Saccharomyces cerevisiae S288C: one gene and its partner. The protein of the gene in region 2 binds, or shares a complex with, the protein of the main gene of each other region. Each region holds a gene or a part of one and is shown on either strand. Other genes may lie near its edges. A codon is read from its position in the direction of its gene.

The links.
Region 1: the proteins of MLC1 (region 2) and MYO2 are in contact, whole or in part, in a crystal structure (PDB 1N2D), measured with the Saccharomyces cerevisiae proteins. Residues at the interface, in NP_011409.1 of Saccharomyces cerevisiae: Leu13 (codon at 1,974), Phe14 (codon at 1,977), Lys16 (codon at 1,983), Asp29 (codon at 2,022), Arg32 (codon at 2,031), Ala33 (codon at 2,034), Gly35 (codon at 2,040), Tyr36 (codon at 2,043), Asn37 (codon at 2,046), Thr39 (codon at 2,052), Asn40 (codon at 2,055), Ala77 (codon at 2,166), Thr78 (codon at 2,169), Lys80 (codon at 2,175), Ala81 (codon at 2,178), Asp85 (codon at 2,190), Phe86 (codon at 2,193), Lys88 (codon at 2,199), Ala89 (codon at 2,202), Phe90 (codon at 2,205), Val92 (codon at 2,211), Met109 (codon at 2,262), Leu110 (codon at 2,265), Leu113 (codon at 2,274), Gly114 (codon at 2,277), Glu115 (codon at 2,280), Lys116 (codon at 2,283), Leu117 (codon at 2,286), Glu121 (codon at 2,298), Glu124 (codon at 2,307); in NP_014971.1 of Saccharomyces cerevisiae: Ile807 (codon at 2,807), Ala810 (codon at 2,798), Ile811 (codon at 2,795), Lys812 (codon at 2,792), Tyr813 (codon at 2,789), Leu814 (codon at 2,786), Gln815 (codon at 2,783), Asn816 (codon at 2,780), Asn817 (codon at 2,777), Ile818 (codon at 2,774), Lys819 (codon at 2,771), Gly820 (codon at 2,768), Phe821 (codon at 2,765), Ile822 (codon at 2,762), Ile823 (codon at 2,759), Arg824 (codon at 2,756), Gln825 (codon at 2,753), Arg826 (codon at 2,750), Val827 (codon at 2,747), Asp829 (codon at 2,741), Glu830 (codon at 2,738), Met831 (codon at 2,735), Asn834 (codon at 2,726).

What each region holds. Positions count from the first base shown.
Region 1 is NC_001147.6:923,830-930,945, reverse strand, and holds MYO2 (myosin 2), read right to left. Parts: upstream 5,226-7,116; coding exon 501-5,225; downstream 1-500. Other genes in the region: SNAP receptor SNC2, read left to right, coding at 1-212; FRT1 (Frt1p), read left to right, coding at 5,906-7,116. UniProt on the Saccharomyces cerevisiae protein: Myosin heavy chain that is required for the cell cycle-regulated transport of various organelles and proteins for their segregation.
Region 2 is NC_001139.9:304,623-307,509, forward strand, and holds MLC1 (Mlc1p), read left to right. Parts: upstream 1-1,937; coding exon 1,938-2,387; downstream 2,388-2,887. Other genes in the region: RMD9 (Rmd9p), read right to left, coding at 1-1,651; ARC1 (Arc1p), read left to right, coding at 2,815-2,887. UniProt on the Saccharomyces cerevisiae protein: Essential light chain for the class II conventional myosin MYO1. Also acts as light chain for the class V unconventional myosin MYO2 and for IQG1.

The DNA of each region.
Region 1 (7,116 bases), on a different chromosome or scaffold from region 2:
TCAACAAGGTTGCTGAACGTGGTGAAAGGCTAACATCCATTGAGGACAAAGCTGATAACTTGGCTATCTCCGCACAAGGATTCAAGAGAGGCGCCAACAGGGTCAGAAAGCAAATGTGGTGGAAAGATCTAAAAATGAGAATGTGTTTATTCTTAGTTGTTATTATTTTACTAGTGGTAATTATCGTTCCTATCGTCGTCCATTTCAGCTAACGCTCATCGGTTCCCGATGCTAATTCTAAAAAATATATACAGTAGTCATAATAGTAATAATAATATAATCATAATTTATAAATTCAGTAAGAAGCAAAATGTAGTTTAATATAGTGTACACTAATACGGCGCGCGGTTAATATCTTCCATAATATCGATTTCATTATCATACTATTGACAAATACTTCTATTATTAATTAACTATGTAGTTTCATTTTTTTTTTTCTCTTTTTTTGTCATTTCTTTTTTTAGCATTCATGTACAATTTTGTTTCTCGCGCCATCAGTTTTAGTGGCCGTCTTGAACGACTTGTTGGGCAACAAGGTCAACTATTCTCTTAGTTGAGGGCAAGGATAACCACGCTGGTATATAGGCTTCTACTTGGTCAAATTTTCTTGTCTTTATCAAACTGAATGGGTCAGTAAATGGACCTGTTTCTGGAGTGATAAATATACTGCTGCTATGCTCGTGACCCTTAGAATCATTACCTGATGAAGATAACGCAGCTTCTTTCTTAACTATATCAGCAACGTATCTTAAGATTTCCTGTGGAATTGGAGACTCATAGTCTGCCACCTGGTATTGTGAAATCAATTTTTGCAATTGTGCAGGTGTTAGCGAATAACAAATTCCTCTTAAGATATCAATGTCTTCGATAGTATACTTACGGACTTGCAGTAGCTTAGCGGTCTGAATCAAATGTTGTAAGCACTCAGTACCATCTGTCAAGCCATGCGTCTTGCACCATTCCTCTAATCTAGTAACGTTGTAGTTCAATTGAAGACCCCTTTTCCACGACAAGAAATTACGTTTCATGATTAATTCGTTAAAACAAATTGCATCCACATAATTCAATAAGGTTGTGACTACAGCATGGAACACTTCATTCTCAATATGAAAAGATTTCATGCACCAGTATATGCTGTTGAAAAAGGTCAAAATGTCGTCCATTGTATATTCTTCAGTGTTAGCAAAAATTTTGTTCAAAAACCCGCTGGTTTCTCCCGCGCTGAAACCTGGTAATGATTCGGAGATGACCACAGCATTGATGGCCTTTTTTTGCAATTGCTTCTGCAATTTCTTCAGCCAAATGTTATATATATTATAACTTAGAGCTTCGAAATCATCCTTTAGTTCTGTGACCAATGAAACATACTCCTTATACTCCTCATCGGTCATGCCGTTTTTGAACGTTTCTTCGGTTAAAATAGAGTTTAGAGCAAACACCACAAATGAGTATAACTCTCTAACGTTTGCTAACCAGAATACACCGCTTGGAATTAAATCGTTACCCTTCAATTGAGTGACAACTTTTTGAATTGTAGTCAATACTTGGGCAAGAAAGCTTTCACTTTGCTTGGTCAGCCCAAATCTCCACATTTCACTTAAAACTATAATCAGTATTCTAGCCGGATAAACAACGTCTCTTTTACTTAGTTGAATAGCTACACCAGCATCCGGTACTTCGAATCCCTTTAACAGGCCTTCCGTGATTTCTTGATTCAAAATTTCAGTGTCCTCCAATAACCTGTATAACTCTTCATTGATTTGTGTAGCATTGACACCATTTTCGCGATCGACACTCAATGAATCAATGTGGTTGTTTCCGGACGATGGAGTAGATCTAGACTTTAGATTCAAATCATTAGGAGATAAGTCGGAATTCTCAAGCATCATATTGTTGAAATTTGAAGCACCGCCTCCCATTACATCCTTTAATGGTGTTTGAGGTAGTACACTAGTAGTAACGGTGCCCAGCGACATGGCAGTTTGTAACCTAGCAATTTCTTCCTTTAAAGATTTAACTTCGTTTTGCAAGTCTCCGTTTAATGTCTGGTATTCAACCAATGTTTTCTTTGTTTGCTCTAATTCTTCAAGTTGCTTTTTAGATTCTTCTTTCAATTCATCATGTTGTTTAACCATGTCCTCCAACTCTAATTGAGCGTCCTTTAGAGTTTGTTCAGTGGATTGCAAATTGTTCTCAATAGTTTTTTGTAATTCCATATCCTTAGATTTCTGATTATCAATATCTATTAAGTGCTCTTTTTTCATATTTTCTAATGTCTCTTGTAACTTGGCACTTTCTTCCACTTGAACCTGTAGTTCTTTAATTCTTTCTGTCATTTCTTTATTTTCTTTGACCTTGGATGCTAGATTCTGCGTCAGTTCAATCACTTTATTCTCTAATTTATAGCTCACTTCTTTCAGATGATTAACTGATTTAGCGTCTGCCTTCAATTGTTTCAATTTCCTTTGAGCAGCTCTTCTTCTGATCAAAGATTGGACAACAACAGTGTCTTTTTTAGTGCGTAAAAATCTCGATCTCGGCTCAAAGGTCCTAACTTTACTTTGAATAGTTACCGCAGCATTATATTCATGTTCTTGTTTCAGTTGTCTTTGTTTTAGTTCCTTTCTAATTTTCTTTTGCAAATTTGTAATTGTTCTCAATACGCTGAACACATTGGCACGGATGGAATGACCCCTGTAAGCGGCCTGTAATAAAGTTGCACAGTTAACTTTCATTTCATCATTAACGCGTTGACGAATGATGAAACCTTTGATGTTGTTCTGCAAATACTTGATGGCCTGAGATATTTGCAAATACTGCTTACGGTAATATTTAGCTCTAATTTTCTTCTGGATCATAACAATTGAATTATGCATCTTATTGCTTCTAAGTTTTTCCAGATATGCAAGCATACCTGCTTTGAAGAAAATTTTTGTATTACCAATCTGGTACTTGGATTTGTCCTTTACAGTAGCATCTAGGATCATTTTAACCACTGATATGATATCTTCTTCTGTAGTTTCCTTTTTTTTGAAGATTAGGTCCCACTGCTCATGTGGTATCAAGATGTAATATCTTAATACAAATTCTTCAAAAGTCCACCTAGAAGGAAACCCAGCACAAGATATTCTAATAGTTTCCAAAACACCACAGGCTCTGAGTTGAGACAACACCATCAAATTATCAAATTGCCAAGCTTCTTTATCTGCATTAGGCTTTATACAACGAATATAATGAACATTAGTTGAGTTGATGGTATTCATTAGTTCAATCAAAGATTGCTTAAACATGGAACCTAAAGTGGGTTTCCTGTTAACCGTTCTTATCGGACCTGGCTTTTTACTGCCAGCCTGCTCTAATTCAAGCTTTTTCGCTTCTTCCAGTTTTTTGGCAGCTTTTTCTAATCCCTCTAAGATATTTATTAGTGTCTCGTTGGTAGAAGCCTTCAACACTTCCAAATGTCCGTCAGATACGGTGTCTCTATTTTTTTCAATAAATCCTTCCACATCATAAGCGACATCTAGAGCATAATGGCTCACGATAAATTTAGTTTGCCCGAATCTTGGTTTAGAAAATACTTTGTTCGTAGGAGATTTATCCAAAGTTTGATAAAGTTTTTGGGTCCAAGATTCGTCGGAACCAGCAGGTAACCTACTTTCTTCGTCAAGCAGTGATAAAATACCCAACTTGTTTTCAATCAGATCAATACAAGGTTGATTATCATTAAACTCTATAAAAGACCATTCAATTTCTTCTTTAACGTATTCTTCTTGCTCTAATTTGAAAACATGTTGGTTGAACTCTTGTTGTAGTTTTTCGTTGGCATAGTTAATACAAAATTGTTCAAATGAATTTTTTTCAAAATGTTCAAACCCATAAATATCCAGAACACCAATAAATGAGCTAATTTGGTCGTTCACAGCCGGGTTGCATAACACGGTGTTGATATTTTCCACAAGCCAATCGAAAAGGGCGGAATAAATAAACTTAGCCACGGAATCTTTGGCAACCAGAGCTTGACTATAATTTAGATTCGAAACAATTTTCTCTGACCTTGTAATGATCTGCTTTTTGGTGACCCATTTGGCAAAGTTGTAGGCATCAATTCCCAGCAATTCGCACGCCAGTTTCAGGTTTGGCTCATCAGCTGATAGTGATGCATCATTTCTAGTTTTTTTAATTTCTATGTTACCGATATGCAGAAGTGCGGCCAAGATCTTAAATATTTGGTGTTGAGTTTCCTTGGTGATTCCGACTAATGTCAATGCATCTACTGTAATTTTGTATTCTTTGGCATCATCAATACCGTTGATCTTGGTGTCACCGCCTTGGTTCATGTAGAAGTAATCTGAGGCATCGGTAAGATGCAATTCCTCCTTGGTTTGAGCTGGTAATCCAGCCATTAATTGATAAAATATGTGGTAGTTTCTCTCAATTGGCGGCTGGTAAACTAATCTGGACCGTTCCAACAAGTATGTGCGGATCCTTGCTCCAATAATAGATGTGTCCTTATCGAATAAAATTTCTAGATACTTACCAAATCTGGAAGAATTGTCATTTCTGGTAGTCTTAGCATTACCAAATGCTTCCATGATAGGGTTTGTAGCTAGAATCTTTTGTTCTGTTTCCGACATTTCCACTTGATGTTGTACAGTAGCGGAATTTTCCTCTTCTACAGAAGCAAAATAACGCATAATATACTTGGCAGAAACCGTTTTTCCAGCACCAGATTCACCACTTACCACAATGGTTTGATTTTGTTTGTCATTTTTCATCAACCTATACGCTTCTTCGGCAATGGCAAACAAGTGAGGTTCCAGTTCACCTCTGCGCTTTCCCGCATATGCTTGGATCATGTCTTGTGTATAAAGCTGGTCGACACGATCAAAAGGGTTTGTAGCAATCAGAACAATACCCGAGTATGTGTAGATATTCAATTGAGAATAGCGCTGTTTGATGGCATGTAAAACAGCTGGCTCATTCAAGTAAGATAAAGAGGTCAAATCTTCCGTTGCTTCCAAAATGGGAGGGTTTCTAAGAAGCGGTAGAGATTGGTCCTTATCGTTATTCAAGTCTTTTGTGTCCACGGACACGATTTCATCGTCTTCCAATTGTAACTCCAGGTGGTACTTGCCGTCGTTGAACTCATTTTTGATTACTTCCGCCCCAATCCAGCCCAATTCTTTATGGGGATACCAGCATCGTGTACCCACTTCAAAAGACATTATACGCTGTAATATCTGCTGTTTTTATGTCCTATATGTACAATGGTATAAGTATCGCTGTCCAATGGAATGGTGTCGAATAGTACCTTAGAAAACAAAAAACAAGCAAGCAGCCAGAAATCGAACGAATAATTTCAAGCGAGAAAAGTGAAATGACTTTGCGAGACTTTTTTGTTCTCTGATTGGCCTTGCAAAGTTGATAGATCTCTGAAACGCAGGCTACGAATCGTATCAAATGAAGGCGTGTTTGGGATTTCTGATATTTGGCTTTTCGAGAAGCGCGATCATAAACAAAAAAAAGGAAAAAATCACAAAATAGCCCTGGGTCGGGTAATAGTTTTTGCCCTACGTTTTCGTAAATGTGTCACTAGGTGCAATTGCCAATAATTAATTGTAACCTACTCAATATCTATTTTAGCCCTACATACGTTAGGGTCGAAAATCTGTTGGGGTTTTGGTTTTAACAGCGTAAACTAAACCAGATAAGCATCGAGAAACGGCGCTTGGCACATCGTATATCAACAAGACAAACCAGTGACCGGAGTTCTGAGGCGTCTTCGAGCCTATTTATTTATTGATCTGGGTCGGATAGTTCACCCTATTTGTGGAGGAAAAGACCTTCCCATATCTAAATTTTTTTTTTTTTTTGGTTTAAGTTATAGTTGATACATTAAGTGAAAATGAACTTGCTAATTGACCGGATGGAGAATCCCGGATCGAGGAACTGTACCCTGTTACCTCCTTCATTCCCAAGAGGCTTTTGTAAGGGAAGAAGGGCTTCCAGTGGCGACGCAGTGAAGATAAAAGAATCCGGTCTACAGCCGCAGCCGCAGCCGGAACCTCTACAAGCTAAAACAAATGTTGCACACTTTTCGAAATCATCTTCTAGATTACCTGTCATAGCAGTGAATGATAATCCGGTGGTCCCAAGACCAAGCACTGAAGTAAACTTGGGATCGTTGTTACAAAAGGAAAGGGAGAAAGAAAAGGAGGAACAGCCTGCGCTGCATGATAGGAGACATTTATATGTGACAAAGAATAGGGCACATGGGGTACGACAACGTTCATTGGAAATGACTAGCTTACCTGTCCTGGGATCGACCAAAACCGGGAAGTTTAGCGATTTTTTGTTTGAAGATGACATCGATAACAGAGTAGGTCGACACAGTAGATCATATAGTGGGGCATCCAGTTTGGATGATCCATTCAGAGTGTCGCCGAAAACCGACTTCAACTCTAATAGGGCCAGATTGTCTTGCCTTAGTAAAGGACGTCGTGGTTCGATGTCCGTTTTCCAAAGCTGTCATACTGGGCTAGCTTTCAATCAAATACAGGGTTCCTCCTCTTCGCAACGTAGATCATCCGCTGGTTCTTTTGATTATGAGAGGAAACGATTGGTTAACCAATTTTTACAGCCTTCTTTGGGAAATTCAGACCCATTTGATACGTTGAGGGAGTCGGTAGTGTTTGAGCCCTCATCCACCGCTGGCGGCATTAAATTAGGGAATATGCATTCTCAATCACAAATTTCCGTAAACTCCTCCCCCAGCACATCTTTGTTTTATCATGATTTGGACGGTTCTGCTGTCAACGATTCTTCGTCATTTCTGTATTCCCGTTCTAATGTACCAGCATTTTTGTCGTCATCAGCCTTTTCGTCCACGTCATCCACCTCATCAGATTCAGAAGATGTGGATAGAAGAAGTTTAAACGGTGTATATCCCTCTTTAGGATATTTGACTAACCAGAGGAAACCAAGGAATTCATCAGGCTCTTCCACTGCACCTGGCACCGATACCTTGGGATTTAAGTATTTACTGAATAGGCAGAAGTCAGCGGATTCTTCCACTAGGTTCAAGAGTGTACTGAAGGTGAACAATAATAATGGCTC
Region 2 (2,887 bases):
TTCCTTTAGCTTTTGCAGAAAAGACCTTTTCATCCCTCTTTGATTGTGACCATACGACAGTGGCATCCCTCAAAGCGGACAGATCAGCATTGGCTATATATTGTTGGCCCAATTCATTCAGTTTCTTGACCAACTCCAGCCATCTATCCAGAATCTCTTCATTATTCGTGTTGTCTATGCTTCCCAATGATTTCAGTAGTATTCTATATGATATAATAGTTCTTGGAATATGGTACAAAGTATAGTTTTTATCGATAAAATCGATTATGCTGCGTTCGTGCCAGATAGATGCTCTAGTTAACATAACGTTAAAAAATGGTTCATCAATTTTTTTGACCCCACTGTAAAACGTTATGATTTCTTGAAGCTTACGGAAACCATTGATATTGTCATTAATATAGTTTTCGAAGAATATTGTGAAAAAAGTGTTGTTTAGTGAGGACAAAATTCCAGGATTAACAGTGTTACCATAAAATTTTACAGCCTTTTCCCATATTCTATAAACATGATCAAAATCGTTCTGTGCTTTCCATATATTCTGCAAAAAAGAGTTCACTGTAGAGACTTGTAAAATAATCTTGTATGGCATTTCATCGTTGATAATTTTGTCAAAGAAACTTTCTGCCAACGTTAAATTCTTGGAATCACCAATGAAGCTTAAGTGCGTTTCAATTAAATAACCGTAATTCCTCACTTCAGCCTTTTCACATAATTGGCCGAAGAGGGATAATGCCTTTTCGTAGTCTTCCGCCTTGATGAAGACTTTTATCAGTCCGCTGTAAAGATTGGGATGGATAAATTCTTTGGATTGAATAATTTGGTTATATAGCTCGTTAGGCTCAGTCAGAGAACGCGTTTTTGCATAAAGTAATGGCAGCATAAAACCAACCACTTTTGGTTCTTGGAATGCCTGTGAAGTAGTCTCGTCGGACAAATTCTTTGACGCTTCCCAAATTCGAATACAGTCATCGTCAAATGACAGCTCTTTAAATGAAGTCAATAGATGAGTAGCTCCATATCCGCTGACAGACACCTTGCCTATCAAAATGTCATCAGATATATCCTTTAATGAATTACATAGAAAGTTCATCATTTCCTTGTGAAAAGATTGCGAATCGTAGTCTGGCTTTCTACTTAATTTTACCAATTGGTCTCTCGTCGACCTCAGACCGTTATGCAGCAGATGAATCAAACGTGACACCCGGTACGCATTGAAATCAGGCGATTCTCTCAAAGAATAGTATAACTCCATTGCTCTGCCCATGGAGTCCCAAAACATGGCGAATGATGGATTTTTATTCAATTGGTTGTTTCCTATTCTTTTGTATGTATTTTGCAAAGGCGTGGTAGAGTACTTTAAAGCAGATGATACACACTCATCAAACGAAAGAAGCTCGTGGCGCCATGGAGAAGCTGGATCCACATTAAACACATTCTGTTCTGTTTTGCGCTGTTCTCGCCCATTCTTCTTGTCCAAAACGCCCTTAGGTACATTTTTATGAAATATCGGACTGGAGTGGTAAGTACGGTCGCTAAGAACTACGTTGGCAAGCTTACCTCTCAGCATTGCTATCGAACCGGAGTTAACAACGTTGCTTACGCTTATTTCCATAGTTTTTAACGATCTCACCGCATTTCTTCTAAGCATCATTGTCCCTTTTGCAGTATATGGACTCTCCGAATAGTGTAAGAAAATGACACTGAAACCTCACCTTCTTTTACTTATTGCTTAGACCCTCATTACAATGCCATACTGAATACATTTTTTCGAATCTTGTTCAGTCAGGAACCTCAACCATATATCATTACACACGAGTAGTAACAAAAGCATTTTGAAGTAAGATTTGAAACAAAATAATACTCAGAGTAGATCGACGTATAAGAGTTCCTTCCCCAGCGTATTCCGCCACCACCCATCGCACATACATAGAATAACAATGTCAGCCACCAGAGCCAATAAAGATATTTTCACACTATTCGACAAGAAGGGTCAAGGCGCCATTGCCAAGGATTCCTTGGGAGATTACCTGAGGGCAATTGGCTACAACCCCACCAACCAGCTCGTACAGGACATCATAAACGCGGATTCGAGCTTGAGAGACGCCTCTAGCTTGACGCTGGACCAGATTACAGGCCTAATTGAAGTCAACGAAAAGGAATTGGATGCAACTACCAAGGCAAAGACAGAAGACTTCGTCAAGGCATTCCAGGTCTTCGACAAGGAAAGTACAGGCAAGGTATCCGTTGGTGACTTAAGGTACATGCTAACTGGCTTGGGTGAAAAGTTAACCGACGCTGAAGTAGACGAGCTGTTGAAGGGTGTTGAAGTGGACAGCAACGGAGAAATTGACTACAAGAAGTTCATCGAAGATGTTTTGAGACAATGAGAGTGCGGAACTGCAAATTTAGACATTTATTACTATATAACAGAGTCCTATCGACATAAAAACGAAAAAAGCGCCATTATGCAATGAAAACTTGCCAGCGGTTTTTCATTTTTCATACTGGTAATTCAGAGAGCCAAGTCTTTCTTTATAATGCATAGCAATAAATAGTCATATATATATATATATATATATATATATGTACATATATATGAACATATATATGAACAAATAAATGATAATGGTATGTGATAGTCATTATTAACGATTAAGCGTTTTTCTTCAGTTTCTGAGGGATTCTAACCGCTTGGCGATTTTGCAAGAGATAAGAAAATTTTTCAGTCATATGGATAACCTAACACAGCGTGCGACGTATTTTACTTCAGGGCCCAATTGAATAAGAAAGTATAATATAGAGTTTCAAGAGTCAATGTCCGATCTCGTTACCAAGTTCGAATCGCTTATTATTTCAAAGTATCCAGTTTCTTTCACTAAAGAACAAT